Neodiprion lecontei: one gene and its partners. The protein of the gene in region 4 purifies or fractionates together with the protein of the main gene of each other region. This does not show direct contact. Links are inferred from orthologs where the notes say so. Each region holds a gene or a part of one and is shown on either strand. Other genes may lie near its edges. The genes, in order: ribonuclease P protein subunit p40, ribonuclease P protein subunit p30, ribonucleases P/MRP protein subunit POP1 and ribonuclease P protein subunit p20.

The links.
Region 1: the proteins of ribonuclease P protein subunit p20 (region 4) and ribonuclease P protein subunit p40 purify together in Homo sapiens (co-immunoprecipitation; 4 studies listed by BioGRID and IntAct, with this or other methods). This does not show direct contact. The link is inferred for Neodiprion lecontei from reciprocal best matches to the Homo sapiens genes POP7 and RPP40.
Region 2: the proteins of ribonuclease P protein subunit p20 (region 4) and ribonuclease P protein subunit p30 purify together in Homo sapiens (co-immunoprecipitation; 4 studies listed by BioGRID and IntAct, counting the BioPlex papers as one, with this or other methods). This does not show direct contact. The link is inferred for Neodiprion lecontei from reciprocal best matches to the Homo sapiens genes POP7 and RPP30.
Region 3: the proteins of ribonuclease P protein subunit p20 (region 4) and ribonucleases P/MRP protein subunit POP1 purify together in Homo sapiens (affinity purification with mass spectrometry; 3 studies listed by BioGRID and IntAct, with this or other methods). This does not show direct contact. The link is inferred for Neodiprion lecontei from reciprocal best matches to the Homo sapiens genes POP7 and POP1.

The regions. Positions count from the first base shown.
Region 1 is NC_060261.1:34,620,706-34,625,418, reverse strand, and holds the start of ribonuclease P protein subunit p40, read right to left. Parts: upstream 3,051-4,713; 5' UTR 1,147-3,050; coding exon 1,027-1,146; intron 905-1,026; coding exon 760-904; intron 347-759; coding exon 182-346; exon of another isoform or gene 96-181; coding exon of another isoform or gene 1-95. Other genes in the region: uncharacterized protein LOC107219755, read right to left, coding at 1-95; uncharacterized protein LOC107219723, read right to left, coding at 4,630-4,713. UniProt on the Homo sapiens protein: Component of ribonuclease P, a ribonucleoprotein complex that generates mature tRNA molecules by cleaving their 5'-ends. Also a component of the MRP ribonuclease complex, which cleaves pre-rRNA sequences.
Region 2 is NC_060261.1:32,864,062-32,867,989, reverse strand, and holds ribonuclease P protein subunit p30, read right to left. Parts: upstream 2,204-3,928; 5' UTR 2,040-2,203; coding exon 1,946-2,039; coding exon of another isoform or gene 1,942-1,945; intron 1,830-1,941; coding exon 1,612-1,829; intron 1,479-1,611; coding exon 1,410-1,478; intron 1,317-1,409; coding exon 1,116-1,316; intron 1,043-1,115; coding exon 975-1,042; intron 838-974; coding exon 758-837; intron 690-757; coding exon 541-689; 3' UTR 525-540; downstream 1-524. UniProt on the Homo sapiens protein: Component of ribonuclease P, a ribonucleoprotein complex that generates mature tRNA molecules by cleaving their 5'-ends. Also a component of the MRP ribonuclease complex, which cleaves pre-rRNA sequences.
Region 3 is NC_060264.1:26,747,843-26,753,858, forward strand, and holds ribonucleases P/MRP protein subunit POP1, read right to left. Parts: upstream 4,414-6,016; 5' UTR 4,174-4,413; coding exon 4,050-4,173; intron 3,769-4,049; coding exon 2,314-3,768; intron 2,085-2,313; coding exon 1,039-2,084; 3' UTR 552-1,038; downstream 1-551. Other genes in the region: 2-iminobutanoate/2-iminopropanoate deaminase, read left to right, coding at 4,690-4,757, 5,929-6,016. UniProt on the Homo sapiens protein: Component of ribonuclease P, a ribonucleoprotein complex that generates mature tRNA molecules by cleaving their 5'-ends. Also a component of the MRP ribonuclease complex, which cleaves pre-rRNA sequences.
Region 4 is NC_060263.1:36,111,282-36,114,776, forward strand, and holds ribonuclease P protein subunit p20, read right to left. Parts: upstream 1,452-3,495; 5' UTR 1,429-1,451; coding exon 1,252-1,428; intron 962-1,251; coding exon 793-961; intron 719-792; coding exon 609-718; 3' UTR 505-608; downstream 1-504. Other genes in the region: transmembrane protein 203, read right to left, coding at 57-470; cleavage stimulation factor subunit 1, read left to right, coding at 1,715-1,785, 2,347-3,244, 3,424-3,495. UniProt on the Homo sapiens protein: Component of ribonuclease P, a ribonucleoprotein complex that generates mature tRNA molecules by cleaving their 5'-ends. Also a component of the MRP ribonuclease complex, which cleaves pre-rRNA sequences.

The DNA of each region.
Region 1 (4,713 bases), on a different chromosome or scaffold from region 4:
GGCTGCATGATGTGCCGTCCGACATCAGTTACGAATTGGCCAACCGACCTGAGGGCCAATTCTTCCAGCGAAGCTATTTGGTGTTTCTTTGGCATTTTGTCAATCTGATACCCCTTAAGTTTTCCGTTTGTCACTTATCCTTTATTATTTAGAGATTTTATTTAGCTTTCCAATAACTCACCAAAGCGATTTTTGATATTACGGTCGAAGAACGAAGGTTTTCCCTCGATACCGAGTGTTTGGAAATCTTCTTTAACCAAGGAAAGTATCAAATGGCCAGACGGAGTTACAGCGAGTGAATTCTGGGTGTCGATGTGACTCTCTATTGCCAGCACACTGACCTCACCTGAAATTGTTCTTAGATGATATTCAGTTACAAAAAGTAGCCAGTTAAAAAGGCAGCTCTGTTAAATAATTTTTGCATACATGCAAAGTAATCTACTACAGATGCTATTGAAAATAATTCTGTATAATTAAACCTGATGGCGAAAAGAAAAAGTTGTTTCTGTCAAAAGAAGTAGTGGAAAAATGAAAATTCCGTGGCGGACAGTTTATTTTTTTTAACTACCTGCTGATAAACAAATGCATACAAGGTTCTGAAAATTTGCTAAAAATGGCGTTTGCAGATCGATTGTAAGTTAAGAAACACGGAAAATTTTCCATCCTATTAGTGTTTCACCGGCGGGAAATCAAGAGTAGAAAAAGTGCAACGAAGTGTTTTAAAATTATAATGAAAAATTGGTGGAAATATTGAATTACCGTTTTTCACAAAGGCCTCGATGAATTCTTTGTCAACCAGTTCGGATGCTGATAAATTGTTGACTCTGTAATAGTCGTTGTCTTCGTTGAACGATTCGAAATAATGCGGTGGTAAATTAACTGTATCAGGAATGACGACAGATACCTGGCAATAATCCAAGAATTATTTAAAATTACGTAAATCTCTCGTTACAGCTACGCAGCGCAGCATAATAAAATCAACCTAACCTATAATTTATAATCGCGAGATCGCGTTATACCGCTTACCGAGTGGTTGAAATAGTGTTTTCTAATCACGCCCGTCACGTTCTTTGTTAAACAATCCGAATGATCGACCTTGAAGTAGTGCTGCGGGGCTTTAAAGTCCCACACTTCTGGGCACAGCATTTCCCGATTATTAATGAAAATGCGTACACCGCGTCGTACGAACAGGCATTGCGGTTATTGTCAGTCAGAAAGGTAAGAACCAAGGAAACACCGAAAAGCTATCCAATTGCGTATTACGCCTAGTCTTGTATTGTATTTTATTTCGTTATTGACATAATACAGCGATCCTCGTATTGGGAACGATGGAAAATAATTCAGATAAACTTCGTACGCTTACGTTTCGAACAGCTGTTTTCTATGTATTAAATTAAACTTTATTGTGACGGCCGTCGCATATGCGCTCATGCGTACGTACCACAGATCAGTGATATATGCATACGTACGGTATACATAGGCATGTATGTAGTACAGTCCACGCATTAAATTTCTTCGAGTCTGGCTTTAGACCCTTTAGACAGAAGCCTAGAAACTTATTACAAAGTTAGTTCCAACAACCGCCGCGTGCGTCGAAACGGCGCTCCCTTATATCAAACAAAGGAGCATCAGCTGACGCGACATCGAACATCTAGATTCTAGAGTTGACAAGTCAGAACGCGTCGCGTTTGCAGGACTCGGTGTGTTAGTTTCACAATCAGCAGTCACCGGTTTCGGTTAGTTTTACCGGAATTTTTCCCTGATTCAACATAGATTTCCATCGTCTGATGAATCTGGTATTTCGTAATATTGCAACCTTGTCCATGAAGTTGGTCGCAACTGTTAAATTAGATCTGAATTCGTTGTAGCTCGCCGATGTGCATTTGTTTCATTAATTTTTCAAAAGAAACTAACACGTGTCGGCATCAGTGCGGTTTACATAATTTATAGATACTGACAGGCTGCCTTGTAATAATTAATCGTAGAATTGGATTTACTCGCGTTGGTACAAATATAAATTCTCCATTGTTTCGATCAACACGTGAGTATAACAGGCGCGATTTCTAGTTCGGTTATTTCGGATGTTCGTTTCCTCAGAATCCATCTTGTTTTTCGAATAAATATACGTGTGATTAATGTTCAAAAAACTGATTTGCTTGCTCTATTGCAATTTTGTGAAATGATTCGTTGCACGCGTCGATGTGAAAGACAATTATCGGCAACTCGAAGAGGGAATTGACGAGGTGCCAAAGCACTGGTAAGTGAGTTTTTCATACGATTTGTGCTGATCGGCAGTTGATTATTTTTCAATGTGTCCGTAGAATGGAACCATTTCTATGGTTACCAAAGTATTACATGTGACTGGTCGTATATTGTTGCATTGTATTGTTACTGCGCACGGTCGAAACTTCATTCGACACAGCTGATTTAAGAAACAAGGAAGATAAGATAATGAGTTATTTGTCCTTATGAAACAAATAATCGACCGTTTATTATTTTCTCATTTTATTACGAAACTAGCAGAGACGTGTACGTTTTCGTAACAATGCCCATAATTATATGTATAAGTAATAGTACACCATATTATTTGCAATATAGTTTTCTTTGTTTTTTTATGTACCCCACTTGCGACCGGCGCAATTTACACATCAAATGCTATACCTAGGAATAATACCCGTACAAATCAAGTATATTTAAAATACGTACAAACCGATTGACGCATACACGACAAATTCTCCAATTATAACGCGTGTTGATGAATTGAAATTGTTTTGATTGAATCTCGAGCGAAACCCGTAATACCAAAATGGCGTATTTTCGCGTACCTGCGTCAAAAATCAAATATCCTGTCACTCAAATTCGACTGGATTTTTCATCATTATTCGTATATTTAATAAATAAGAATATAAATACGGCAAAGAAAGCTATAATTTTATTCTTCTAATGTTCTAATTAGTTTACTCGTGTTAATATATTCTCGATACATTACTCACGTCACAGCCTAAAATACCTATTTGATTCTCGTATAAAGTAACGTAAATACTTGTACGTATATTACACTATATACAAATAAAATTGGAATATTTTCATTTCAATTGTATAGTGTATATTTTACACCATAATAAAATATTCTCGTCACTTACATTAATATTATTATTACACAGGGTTCTTATAGCGAGTTTTTTGGTTTCCGTCTTTCATTCCACACTTATTCATTTTCTCGTTAGTCTTTGTTACATAGTTTATTCGGATGGTTTTTTTTTCTACAGTACGAACGCATTTCCGGGAATATAATATCTCCTGCAGCGATAGCAGACATGTTTTTTAAACATAGATATACACGTGGGTAAATCAACTTCCCACGATTGAGGTAGTATATAAGTATAGTCGCAAAGTTGCGTGTTTATCCAATTTTCCACATTTTTGCCGACTTGACGTTTATTGGCGCATTATATGGACAATGATTCGTATGTAACGTGTGAGCAATAAATAATAAGCTCTCTGAAATGAATAAAAGTAACGGGGTTGGGGGATACAAGTCAGCGAAGAATGTGGACAATTGTTAGATGAGAAGTACTAGCAATATAAAAAGTTCGTGGAAGTCAATTCGTTAATCAATCCTCGTGCGTATCACGAATTAAAATTCTACTTCAATTCTCAAAATTTATTCGTTACAATTGCTTATTTTATATTGTTATATGCTTTACGGAATGTTACTCGATGACTGTTATGAGAAGGAACAACGTTTTCTCTCATTCAGGCACAATTAGCCCGATGAAATTGAATCTCTATAATATAATTATATCCGTCATAATATGAGTATGTTTAAAGTATTGCCAAAGTTCATTATTTGATACGAAAGTTGTGAATTCGAAGTGAGGATTCTTCTTCAAAAATACGGGACGCAATTTTTTCCTTTCCAAAGTATGAGGCAATCGTTTTATACAATAAGGAAAGGATTGAAAAAGTTCGTTTCGAAATCTGTCTTTCTTTTTCCCCAGACCGTAGAGAAGAAGTTCTACCAAGGGTTTGAGATACTAATTTTACGGGGGTCAATATTTGTCTCAAACAAGTAAATAAATACTGTGAAAATTGTTGTATACCTGTACACTCGTCAAAACCTCTTAAGTCGGAAGAGTTATTTCTCGGAAGTTGAATAACCCTCTGAAATAATTTGATTTTGTACAAAGATTATTTCGAGGGATACAGAAATTTAACATCGTAGCTTTGTTCTCGGTGATCTTCATATTGATGGAAAATCTTGTTTCCTGTAATCGGATACCGACAAAGAGTGAAAAAAGAAAAGTATTTCTCGGATGCAGATTGTTTTCACGTTTCATAGGTAACTCGCATTCTAATTTATCATTCTTGTTATGCAACACCTCAATTTCTTCCCGGTCAAACACCGTACCTTAATTAATTGTCAAATATAATACACCTTAGCGGCGTAATTAGCGGCGTGACGGATACGCGCACCTTATACTGCGTATATACACATGTTTGCACATTTCGTAAGCCTTGCGTATATCGCACACAACTGTGGATATTTTAGGCTAAGAAAAGGCGTTTCACTGGTTTAATCGAAGGTTCGTAACCCCGCACACAATGTGACGTAACACGGTTGTGACGTCAGAGGAAAGGTGCGCGTTGAATTAGGGGGTCATGCCCCTCGGCAACGTCGCCGTTGGCTCGAGCTCCAGGAGTCTTTGTCAT
Region 2 (3,928 bases), on a different chromosome or scaffold from region 4:
GTCCTATTTCAAAGACTGAAGTTGAAAGGTGTTCAAAAGGAGAATAGTCTGTAAATAATTTGCTTCCGATAGCAATTAAAAATCTATAAACTTACAGTAAAAGTTTACTTTTGCTCATTTTCATTTCCTCTTTGCATCATTCTGTTTAGAAACAGTTCGAGTCTGTGTTCGTCTGTGGAATGTATAATATGCTATCTGTTCAATATTGTTTTTATTATTATCCCTATAAAGTACATTAAATACGAAGATTTTTCCAACAATATGTAAAACTGTGGATAATTGCGTTAAGAAAATTTTCGTTGATATGTTAATGCTAAATTAAGATTAAATTTAATTTAATCATAACAGATCTTAGATATAGCTACCAGATGTAAAATACCAATGGATAAGTGTGTAAATTATTTCCCCCGCTAGTAATAACAAAAAATAAGTACATATTATTGAAATACCAGTTATGTAACAAATCTTTATCTTTTAAAATATAGTCTACTCAAATCGTATGGATCAATTTTATTTTTCACAAATTACTCTCCCGACTGATCACAGTTTTATTTTTTTTGCTTCGGTACAAGTGTCACCATGTTCATCGTCTGTTTCCTCCGCTTCTATTTCCATTTCCGATTCCATCTCTCTTTTTTCGGTGCTACATGTTTGTATTCGAAAAACTGCTTTTCCATAGCGTCTTCCTTCTAAACTCAGTGTAAAAATATGTCATTATTGTTATTAAAAAATTTCTATCATAATTATATCGACCCACCTGCTCTCAAAATGACATATCGACTCTGTGAGAGGATTGAAGCTTTAGCTTTTGTCTCATTCATTCCCAGAATAGAAGCTCTAGCATAAAAATGACTAAGGAATATAACAGATGTAGAATCAGCACTCAATAATTTTCAAACCACCAAACTTCAGAAATTGGCTACTGTAATACCCAGTTGAATTCAAATATACTTGATAAATTCTTCAAAGGATACAAATTTATTATATCATAAGGACTCCTAATTTGGGTTTCAATTGAAGCTCCGCTACTGATGAAGATGTTCTGAAAGAATAACCATGATGCAGAAAAATTTTGACAAGCAGGTGCCGATCCATTTATAGAAAGAAAAAATTACTTTGCTTTTGCCAAACATGTGGAACAGATGGGAGTAATGTATAGCAAACTTTCTGCTCGCACTACTAATAACATCGCAGTACTGAATTTCAAAATTAATTCCTCTCTCTACAGCTTGTAAATATAACTTCCTGCTCAACTTTAGCCCAACACAATTTCTGTTTAATAATACGATGTCTGTATTGAGTTGGGAGCAAGCAAACTGGAAAAAAGAAAAGAAGTATCAAGAAAATCATAAATTAATCCGCAGTACCAAACTTATATAGTAGTCATCGTGCAAATCTTACCAACGTACCTGAAATGCTGCTTGTGTTTTAGGTACAACAGCGTATAAGTCATACTTTCTCAGACTCGATGATTGATTCTGAAAATATTGAACAAATTTAAATACTTGAATTCAAAAAAATAAATTAAATTTAAAATACCTATTCTCAGTGCCTTAGAATTGCTGAGATTATATCGGATCAACTTTTTACAGACTTTTATAACGTGTTTACCAGCGTATGGGTTCTTGTGGGATCTCCGAACACGAACGTAAGACGATTTAAAATACGAAGCTTTCCAGCATATTCTGAAATTAGATCAGCGATGTCTGGAGGACTCGGGACAGTAACTCCCAGAGCTTCATTGTCACCGGCCTTTTTCTTGTTTTTCTTTTCAGATTCGAAAACTGTCTCTTCTATTGTTCGGTTGATTGCTACTGTTGAATAACCCACTGGTGAGAATTGAAGAAAAACATTACGATATGTCATAGTTGTAGATTCTGATTGATCTTCATTTGTTTTCTATTTACATCAAATGAAATGAGAATTTTTGTTCATACGTACATACTTTCATATAATTTATCCAGCACTTTATGTAATGTATTTTTATTTACAATTTCTGCATTTATGCATAGGTCGCAAAACCCGAAAGCAGTCTCCATTTCAGTGAATAATTACATTCACCAAACGTGGTAATAAAATATACACAATAGTATTGAACAGCTGAACCACAAACAACGTATAGAGTAACGAAGGTATACTACGTTTAACGAGAGAACCAAAGTAGAGGATCACACGTGCACAGACCACTGGATCTCTATTATAACTAAAGATCAGTGGCACAGACTTTTTCGCAACGCCATCTGGTGACTCTGAGAAAAACTAATCGATAATAATCGGTATGTTACACCGGTTACGCGGCTCGAATCTTCGACTGCGGGGACTGGTCGGAGGTGGTTGAGTACTTATAAGAGTTCTATTTGTGCACGGTTGAACGTCGTTTCGTGTATGCATCGTTATTAGTTTGTTATTTTAATATGTCAAACAATGCCACGTTCCGTTGTGAACAATTCTGATGAAGATCACAAAGCCAAAAACGGTAAGCCGCAGTTCAAACTTTTGTGTGAATATCATTTTTATCACAACCGCCAATTGTCTGACGACCGTTACGATTTCAAATATGTCTGAGCGATAACATTGCCATTCTTTAATCTCCCTCGCATTTTTTTGCCTCGTGAACGGTCCGTACCACGTTTTCGTACATGTGGAATCGCGTATCGGTGCAAACATAATTGGAATAATTTTAATCGAATCATAGATCTTCCTCAACCTAATTTTGCTGCTCTATGTACACGGTGACCTAGCATCAAGTGACCAAACTGATAGGGGTTATATAGGCGGTTGAACTGAGTAAATTAAACGAAAGAACATGTGACCTACGAAGTCGCGTTCGCGAGATACGACCGGTTAAAAGAGATCTCGCTAAGCGCTGGCATATAGGCAACCGAGTATACATCAAGCCGCGGATAGCGATCCTTGTCGACATTCGCTCGAAATTCAATAGTTATGCAATTCAATCGCCAGATTAAAATTTTTTATTGATTCACGGGATTGTTTATGGGGTATAAGCAAATATTGCTTTGCTCATTTTACACGTATTATTATGTAGGAATCGACGACAATTAAATTTAGTCGTTAAATTTGTAATGAAGCGACATTGGAATGTCGTTGAAAGTTTGTTTGGGAGTAGAAGCAAGTCTAATCATAATGGACAAAGATATTTCAGAATTATTTACCACTTCTATGATATTGGAAAAAATTATTTAAAAAAATGTATACATGTCTGAAGTTGTATCCAGCTGTCTAGGTCATGACATGTTGTCACCTGGCAACAACAATAGCTGGATTAGAGTTACTTTTCGATTATGAACAAAAAAAAATGGGTTCTATGGATGACAGATCTTGGAAGTATATATAGTGATAAACAAAGTTGTCGTAACATCATTAGAGAAAATTGTACTTTTGTATTATTATACATATACAGGTACAATGTAGTTTAGTAACGTTCAAAGCTTTCACATGGTACCTGTAATCACTTACATGGTTTTGGAGATCAGTTTCTAGATACCGGCCAAGCGAGGACCTAAAGGTGAAAATATTTGTTTAGATCTAATCTCACGAATGTATTGAACGACATTGAATGTTATGTTTACGAGTGCCATAAATATTTGGAATGTTTGTTCCGATTTTCTGTTCTATTCGTTTTTTTATAAACTTTTTCAGAAACTAGCTTTTCTTTCCATAAGACTTGTTCGTTTTTTTTTCTTCAGTAACGTCATTATTTTCGGTGCCAACCTTACTCATTTCGAAGAGTATACGATTTTTTCACAATAACACTACGCGACGTTACCAAACTCTGAAAAACCTAATAGACTATCCAGGCACGCAACGCAACCGAATTTTGACTGGCTGCGTAACGTCGTTAAGCCTTGATGAAAAACAAATCATAAAGTCTCATAAGAATTTGTTGAGAAAACTATGTGTATCTGTC
Region 3 (6,016 bases), on a different chromosome or scaffold from region 4:
TTTTCCCCATGCTTTCTTATAATCGGTGTTAGAAACTACACATATTCACTTACAGAAATTAACGAATACTTTTCAAAATAGCTTGGTCACCACCAGCAGTCCTGCTAATTCTTAAAATGATATTCAAAGGTGAAGGTTTTTCAGACCTAAAGTATATATTTTTACAGTACTTATTTAATTTATTTCGAAGTATGCTCATTGGAACCATTAAATAAAGTTGCTACATAGCAATCTTACTGTTAATTGGATCAAAGTTTTCTGATATAGATTCACAGCGCCAGCACGGGGTTATTACTGTTTATTGTGGTTAAAAAAGTATTATCTTTCAAATACCTTGTATAGTAGCAATAGGTATACAGTACGACTGCTAAGTTTTGCTGGCAAAACGAAGAAAAAATAATAATGAAAGCACTAGTAGATATAAAATAGTAACATGTAGGCGTACCTGTGTATTTTATTGCATGTACGTACATGTCTATGTGCGAATATAAGATCGAAATAATAAAATAAAAATCATAAATAAAACGAAGGCACGATTTTTTAAAACGCCCTGTTAAACACGGGCTTTTATTTCATTAGATTTGTAAACGGGAAAAGTCTACTTTGTTGATTTAATTTCAATTGCTCAACGTGCAATGGGAAACTACTGGTAATAATAATATCAAATGACAAGAACTGCCAGTTCGTTTATTGTTTGTACATCGCACTGGCAAATAACTGATGAGAATTTGGACTCTCTTCTTCTACACTTTAAAAATCATGATTCTTTTCCCAATATACTATATACTTCCGTCTATGGTAGGCGATAATTTTATTTATGAAACATAATAATTAGCGCATAGCCTGTCACAATGTAATAGTTTTAGCAAAATAAGGTATTCAAATAAATCTCTTAGAGCCACATTCAAATGGTTTCTACAATTACCTTGATGCGCTATTTAAGAATTTCCAGAAGAAATCGTTGATTTATATACATTTGTACGTTACTCTCCTGAAGTTAATTGATCATTCACAATATATTTACAGGTCAATAGTTATTCATGTCAGTATACTAAGTCTGGCGAGTCTGTATTGTCTAGATCTTGTGTTTCTGATCAGAACTACGTTACTTTTCTGCTTAATTAGGCTAAACAGAGAGGGAAGTGTTACGTATCCCAGTCCGATTCCCTTTGATTCGGTAAAACTGAAGTCTCCTTTAACCACGTATCCCATAACTTCTCGATCGCAAGAGTTTCGTATCGTTTTGCAATTTGGCAAATAGAGATTCTTCATCTTTTCAGCCTGCAGGTCAACAATACTTTGAGCCTTTTTTCGCGAAATTATTTTAGACATCGCAATGCTGGAACTGGGCTTTGGCTCAACCGATCTGTGATCACTACTCTCCATTTTAATCCGCTGTTTTACTCTTTGTCTTCTCAAACGTTTCAATAGCGCCAAGTGACCCCTTCTCAAAGTTTTTCTAATCGATTCGTTGGGGTCTTTTCTTAGCTTAGCTACAGGCCCTTCCCAGGTTCTTTTTTGGCCCAATTTTTCTAAATCCTCAGAGAGGGGTAAGCAGATTATGGCAAAATCTCTGGGACACCCTTTGCTTTCTATGACAATCTTTACAGTTATTAACGTATTAGTGTCTTTGAACACAGTTTTGTCGAAACTTGATTCACAAAGCTGTTGATACTTCTTATGCCGGTTCAATGGTAATTGATGAGAGATATTTTCTTGTATTAAATGAAGCAGTTTCTTATCTCTGAGTACATAGAACGTTGCCATATCTGTCCATTCCTTGATAAGTAAATTCCACTCGCAATAGAACGGACTAGAAATACCAAGTTTCACGTAATTTGATCTCCTGTTTGGAGGATATCTGAAATACTTTTCCATTAGACTAGTCTTTCTTTCTGAAGCTTCTTTTATGTATGCTTCTGTATCTGGCGGATTAAAATCAGGCGAATTCAACCTAAGATTTTCAAATATAATTGATGTTGATTCCCTCAAACCTCCTGGTTTGGCACAACGAAAAATAAACGAGATCCAAAACGGAGTTGCCCAACCAGATGGTAAAATTACGTCGATTCCAGAACTGAATCCTGAAAATAATTAATCCAGTTAAACAATCGAATATTTGAAATGCCAATTCAAAATTTGAGTTTGATAGAAGAAATACACTTGGGACTTAAATTTTTACTTGCCTTTCAGTCTTTCTGTTATAATACTAGAAGCTCACAAGTCACATTCTCAAAAACTGTCATAACTACATCCAGAATGACTAGATAAATTTTAAATAACGATGGAATGAATGCAATTTGCATGGCTTACCAAGACTTTTTTCTCCATAGCCGCATCCAGGCCTCTGAATAAGAAGAATAGGTACTTTGGCAATATAGCTTTGGTCATATTTATCGTCATTGCCAATACCGGGAACTAAATTTTCACTTCTCAGTTTGTTTATTTCATTTGTAGTCTTGAAGTTTTTCACCGATGATTTTCTGATTCTGGGTTCCCATATTGCACTAACATTAATAAGTGTGGGAGGAACAGGAATCGTCTCAATGGTCCTTGCATTTGTCTGCGCTTTATTTCGTTTAGTCGGGACGAAATATCTTGGATCCAAAACTGTGAAAGCCATAACTGCACATGGGGGAAGCTGGTTGGGTGAATTAAGATCCCTCAGATGTTCAAAAACCTCTTTTTGAACTTGCAGTGACTGAATGTTCTCTGAGTCCCTATAATACTCCGAATACCATGATCGGGCAGTAGTCTCAAGTGATTCGTTGTTGTCATCTCTATCAATACGAGTATTGCTCTCGACGTCCATTGGTTCAATTTCCTTCTTAGAAACCTGAACGATTTCAACATCACTATCCGAATCACCACATTTTGGTGAATCTGTTTCCATGGTAGTATGTGACTTCACTTCATCTCCTTCTCCCTCAGATTTTCTCACTTCGTCAAGAATTTTTCCTATCTCTGGCAGACGTAGGGCAGTCGTGAGCACTGCCAGACTCAATGGACCGCAAAGTCTGAACCTGTTCAAGGAATTCTTCAGTAATACTAATCTGCAATTATCAGCACCCGAATACTCTGAATCTGAGGAATGGCACGGAGACTCAAGATTAAACTTGAAGCTGTTACAAATCTCCGACAATATTAGCTGATAAAATGCAGGATGCGCCCACATCCATAATGTTTTTAGTTCAGAGTTACCAGGCCTCCATATGAACTCTACAGTTCCCACAGGTGATGTTGGATATCCGTTCTTCCTGTAGAACATAAGATTCCCCTCCCTGCTACCCTGGATATAGGATTTTGCTGTGAAGCTCAGGTTGCCAGGATCGCAGTGATTCTTGAGCATTTTTTTCAGCGCATTAATCGGTCCAGTTAGCTGAATGCAAGAATAGTAAGATATGTCCTGTAGCAGGCAGTGTTTTGCTACTGCTCTGTAACTCGCTCTAAAACTGCGATCATTTGAGTGCTCAGGGAGCCTGTGACCCCATTTTTCAACCATGTGAAACCTTTTTGCGTGCCACACGTGTGTTTCAAGCCAGGCATTCTTTACCTGCCTACGCTTGTACTCTGCGATCAGGTTCTGTGGCCTTCGCCGGTACTTTCGGGAGGGTCTTTTTGTTTTGGGTGGCAAACCTGACTTTGACATTTGGTGAATATGCATCTCTCGTAGTCTCCTTGGCATACGCTTTGCATTGTGGGACATTATTCTGCGACGCATATGCATCGGTAGTTTTTGGAATATTAATTTTGTCTGTTGAGGATTATCTGCAATATCAAGGCATAATGGTCATTCTTCAATAAAAATTCAAAATTCCCGCGCAATTAACACTCTCAAGTATTATCAAGTTAATGGCATTGTTGGGGAAATGAGGGACGAAATAAAAGAAAGAAAAACCTGGGTATACATCCGGGAAAGATACATATTCCATGTCAAGGTGGCTGAATTATGAAGCACCAGAGACATTTAAACAAAAGCAGGAATTGGAGAGGGAACAATATCTAGATTAGGTTAGGTTTATTTTATAATGGACGGGAAAATATTTTACCTATGGAATAAGTCATCGCGGCGATTTCATTCGCTCTCGCCGATGCCAGTTTCATGATATGTGCTTCGGGAGGTAATTCCTGGGATCCACCGAGGAATATGTCGAATTGAGCCTTTTCCGCCATACTTGAAGTTTCCGTGACAATTCTTGTACGAGAAATTGTAATTGGATTCTGATCCAAGCATTTGTACCTTCCAACGAACACTACGAGCCGATATTTCGAAATTTGATTTGAGGTTATGTTCAGTCTTGCTCGAACCACGTGACAGAAAGAGTATCATTCATCTTCGACCACGTGTGTATGTTGTTCTGGTGTATACCTAGATGTCTAACACTAAGGCGCAGGCAAGAAAATTACAGTTCTAGTTTCTCATGTCTGCGTAGTTATTCACAATCTCCAGTATTGGAATTGCAGTGTTAGGAATGTTGATCATTGATCGGCCTTCGATTTTTCTTTTGAACTGATAACATGAATAGAAATAAATGATACGCACGAACAATAGCAGAATATTACGTTACAATTTGCGCGTATTGAAAATTGCGACTCCGTCCGAATCAGTCATCATTATATCACCGTACTAGCTTACGCGACGAACCTCATACCTAAGGTTGACAATATTGCGTATATCATACAGTAATAATGGCGATGAAAATTATTCGAAAAATTATATCAACTACAAGGGCACCAAAATCGGCCGGACCATATAAGTGAGTCGTAATTACAGCGCACTTTAATAAAGAAATCAAAGACTAAAACAAGGACAGACAAAATCTCAGTCACTTATATTTGTCTAAAATTTTAGGGGTCGAGATTTCTCTCAAAAAGTTTTTCTACAAAGTTTAACATACACTCATGAAGTTATGGAGCTGAGATAGTTCATCATATGACATATCTTTCAAATTTAATTTGTGATATTTCGGGATGGAAGAATTCTGTACGGACATGTTGAATTATACGAATCAATTCGCAAGCACTCCAGAAATATGCCGATATTTGATAGCTGATAATTTGTTCCATCACGTGGTATTAGTAGCTTTACTAATTGCTGTACGTTCACTAGCATAGCTGAATGTGTACGCCACTGCCATTGCACACAGGTCATAGTTCACAGAGTGTATCAAACGTCGTCATTTACAATGCTTGTGAGCTGCACACAATCGTGCACGAATACATAACACTACTTGAAAAATGTATATATTCCACATGCATGCGCGGACGTATATGTACGACTGATTGAATTATACCTCTATACAAATAAAAAGATAATTCGGTATTGGAGAAAGCCGGTCAGTCGCTTATACTCTTAGTGTACTGCGGTTTGCCCTGAAAGAACATGGCGTCTATAATACGGAAAATTATTACTTGTCCAGCAGCGCCTAAACCCGTTGGCCCTTATAAGTGAGTTAAAATATCAGGATACCTCTATGTTTACCTAACGAATGTTTTTCGTTATTCATTTACTGATCGTGCAAGTTACGATTTCTTATAATACATAGTATTCACATCTTACGGACGACTCCGGTGCGAAAAGCGCATCAATAATCTGTTTTCGATCACAAATAAAAAGAATTAAAATGAATATCAATATCATATTACTTACATTACATATATTCAATACAGTTTATTTGATTTCTGCCAAATTATTGTCATTACTTGTTCTTTATTAAGAACGGATACGTCTAAATATGATGTTTAGTTATCTCACTATTTTTCCTTTTCTGCACGCCATTTACTGCATATCGGTGTGTAGATAACAATGCTACGTTGATAATTGTATTGCTCAAACATTGGTGATGCACGTAACAAAAATCAAAATTTTTTGTTCCACTTGCAAATTTTTTTTGAGATACTAATCATTGTTTTTCTTATTGTTAATAGTCAAGCTGTCCTAGTCGACCGAACCGTTTATCTTTCTGGAGTACTTGGGCTTGATAAGGATTCTGGGAAGCTGGTCGATGGTGGGGCA
Region 4 (3,495 bases):
GAAGATTGTTGTAAAGAAAATTCTATGACAGGATCATTTCTATCTAAAGCCCTGGGTCAGTGAAGCTGACAAGCCCTGACAGCAATAAGTTGTAAGAGAATAAAAACAGGGCTCAAAACTTCAGAATATTCCAGACTGCTTTGACCTGACAATTTTTTGCAAAGTAAATACTTGAAAACAAAAACTAACAAAAGAAAAGTCAAACTCCATAGTGCTCTAAGTATAGCACTTTTCATTACTCCATCCATTTGCATTCTTATGAAAATAATTGCACAAAAATATGTGTTCAAGCCATCACCGATAAATAATGGCGAGAATATAATCCACCAGCCTCCATTGCCTGCGAAATAATTGTTATCTATCTTCATGGCTAGCAAAATCGTAAATATTGTCAATGATACAAGATTGATCCATATTTCAAATATCGTTAAACCCAGCCAGTGCACTAATTCGTTGAGGGAAAATATCATCTTGAGGAAGTTCACAATGAAGAAAAAACAAATATCAAATATGGAAATTAAGCTTCTTCATTGTCTCATAAAATATAAAGCTTACATCCAAACACTACCTCAGACTGAATAAACTCACTTAAAATTAATAGTATGTGTTTATTTGAATGTCTCAAACAATGCTGTGCGGAACACTCGAATATGAATGGCTGAATTTTGCCGTTGATTTACCTCATAGTCAGCGTCATCTGTGATAGGCTCAAAATCATCTATAAAAGTCAAATTAATTATACCATTAATACTCAACAATTCAATGTTCAAATCCTAGCCCAGCTTTACCTACCAGTTATATCTACAGTCGACGTATTTATGTCCAAATCGACAGTGCCATGGTGATTTTCTTTCAATTGTAAGGCCAAATTGCAAGCTCTGCTTACCGCAGCACCAAGAGCATGAATAACAATTTCTTGTTCACCGGAATCCAGTAGTTTTTCACATTTGTTCAGCTGAGCCTTAAACAGAGTCGATAGTATTATGAGAAATCATGCATAATTATATTCTTGTTTACAATGAAGCAACAATCGTGCAAAATATAAGCAAGAATTTATAAATTCTGATAGCTGGAGCGTTGGAAATTGTAATTACCAGAAACAAGCTGAAAAGAGAAGGTACGAGACTGGTTTACAGTGTTTGTCAGTTTTCCAACTCCACACCATGGATATTTATATAAAATAATTGAAAAATGGTACGGAACATCATGTGATTTAAACGCACCAAATGAGGTTAGGGTGCCTGAGGTTACCTTGAAGTTTGTTTTGTTGGTGATATAGAAGTCCTTGTCACTTTTCGGTAAACGTGGCGGTAATCTCTTTCTTATAACATGTTCGTAGGTGGGTCGCAGTTTGATCTTAGAGTCCTTGATTGAGCTTTCTGTCAAATTTTGTTGACTCGATTCAACTTCGCTTTTCGCAGCAGCCATTGTGGCATTTCTCCTGTATCCTGAGAGGAGGTTATGCGATTGGCAATTCCTATGGAGAGAGTTGAGATTCTGATTACGATATCCAATCGTGCGACATGCGTGCGACTAACTTCGACAGGCAAAATGCATCAACATAACATAACCTCTCACCTCGCAGAGACCACGACGGTGACAGAGGCGAATCACGAATTGTCGTTGGTCGTATTTTCGGATTCCGTTTTGTGCCTGAAAAAATAAAACCAGCAAAATTCAGTCGCCGAAGGAGAATAGAGATTATCATTCAAACATGAAGGAGCCAGATTTGGATCCGAAGAATATTATTAAAAGCAGAGAATCGCTCTATCGGCTTATGATCAGGTAAGCAAATCTCAAATTTTTCACTACTTCAAACTTCTCATTACACGTTTTCGTTATGTTCAGACACCATTGCTTCAATTTGTGTTTTCGTAAAAAAATTACGGATAATTAACTAAATGGTTATTCATATCTTATTGCAAAACTAGTCATTTCATACGTCCCTTAGAGGGTTTAGAAAAACTGATTTGACAAGGTATCCAGCAATGAAAGTTTATACACCATAATTAGGGATATCGGAGGAATCGGATTTTTCTAAGAAAATTTTCAGATATAGAATATTTGCGAAAAATACTTCACTAATTTGCTAAGTTTTCCCAACTCCCAGTGACATCTTGAAACACCTTGCCTAACAATTACAGACTGTGATATCACAATATTAGGCAGAAGTTGATTTGATTTTCTCTTTCATTTACATATCAAATTGTAAGAGGCACAGTCTCACAAATCCTGCTGTTTACACATTTTTACATAAGCGTATGACTGGTCATTTTGTCGAAGTAATGAAATTGTGTTTACTAATCTATAAAGTGGTCTTAGTTATATGGAAAACATATTTTTCAGCCAACTTTTCTATGATGGTCATCAAACTCTGGCGGTTCAATTGTCGAACATGATACAAGCTGAGCCGCCTTGCCCACCTTCAGATAGATTGTTGCATTTGATGTTAATCGGTGCTGCGCATGAGCCAGATCGTACAAAAAAAGAAGTAAATAATCTACCGACATTTTCCAATGTCGATAATACTCTTGGTCCTGGTTTAGATTTAGAGTTTGAAACAGAGGCTCAGACGCAGGCACCAGAACCGGCACAATATGAAACGGCGTATGTTACATCGCACAAAGGAAATTGTAGAGCAGGAGCATTTTCGGCGGATGGACAGCTAATTGCCACAGGCTCCGTCGATGCCTCGATAAAGATTTTAGATGTTGACAGAATGTTGGCCAAATCTGCACCGGACGAAATGGCACCTGGTGATCAAACTGGGGGGCATCCAGTGATCAGAACGCTGTACGATCACTTGGAGGAGGTGACTTGCTTAGAGTTTCATCCCAGGGAGCCAATACTTGTTTCCGGGAGCAGAGACTTCTCAGTCAAGCTCTTTGACTTCAGTAAAGCAAGTGTTAAGAAAGCTTTTCGTACTATAACAGACGCCGACCAGATCAGATGCTTGTCGTTTCATCCGACTGGTGATTTTCTTGTTGTTGGAACAAATCATCCTGTCGTTAGATTGTACGATGTAAATACGGCACAGTGCTTTGTATCTAGTATACCCAGCCATCAGCATACGGCAGGTATAACCAGCATTAAATATTGTCTGGACGGTAAGACTTACGCCTCTGCTGGTAAGGATGGAAGTATTAAATTATGGGATGGTGTATCCAATCGGTGTATAAATACTTTTGTCAAAGCACACGACGGGTACGAGGTTTGCTCCGTGACGTTTACAAGAAATGGAAAGGTATGTTTCTTCTTTAATTTATAAATTAAACTGACGTCAATAATCGTGACTAAGGCAAACACAGCTGAGAATTATATTTACACTTTGCTGTCTTTGTGAATTTCAGGGATGTCCTTTCCCATGTCACTAAAGTGTCTTGGTAAAAAATATGAATATAAATTCTTGATATTCATTTTCAGTATTTACTCTCATCTGGAAAAGATTCTTTGATTAAATTGTGGGAACTGTCAACGAGCAGATGTTTGATTGCT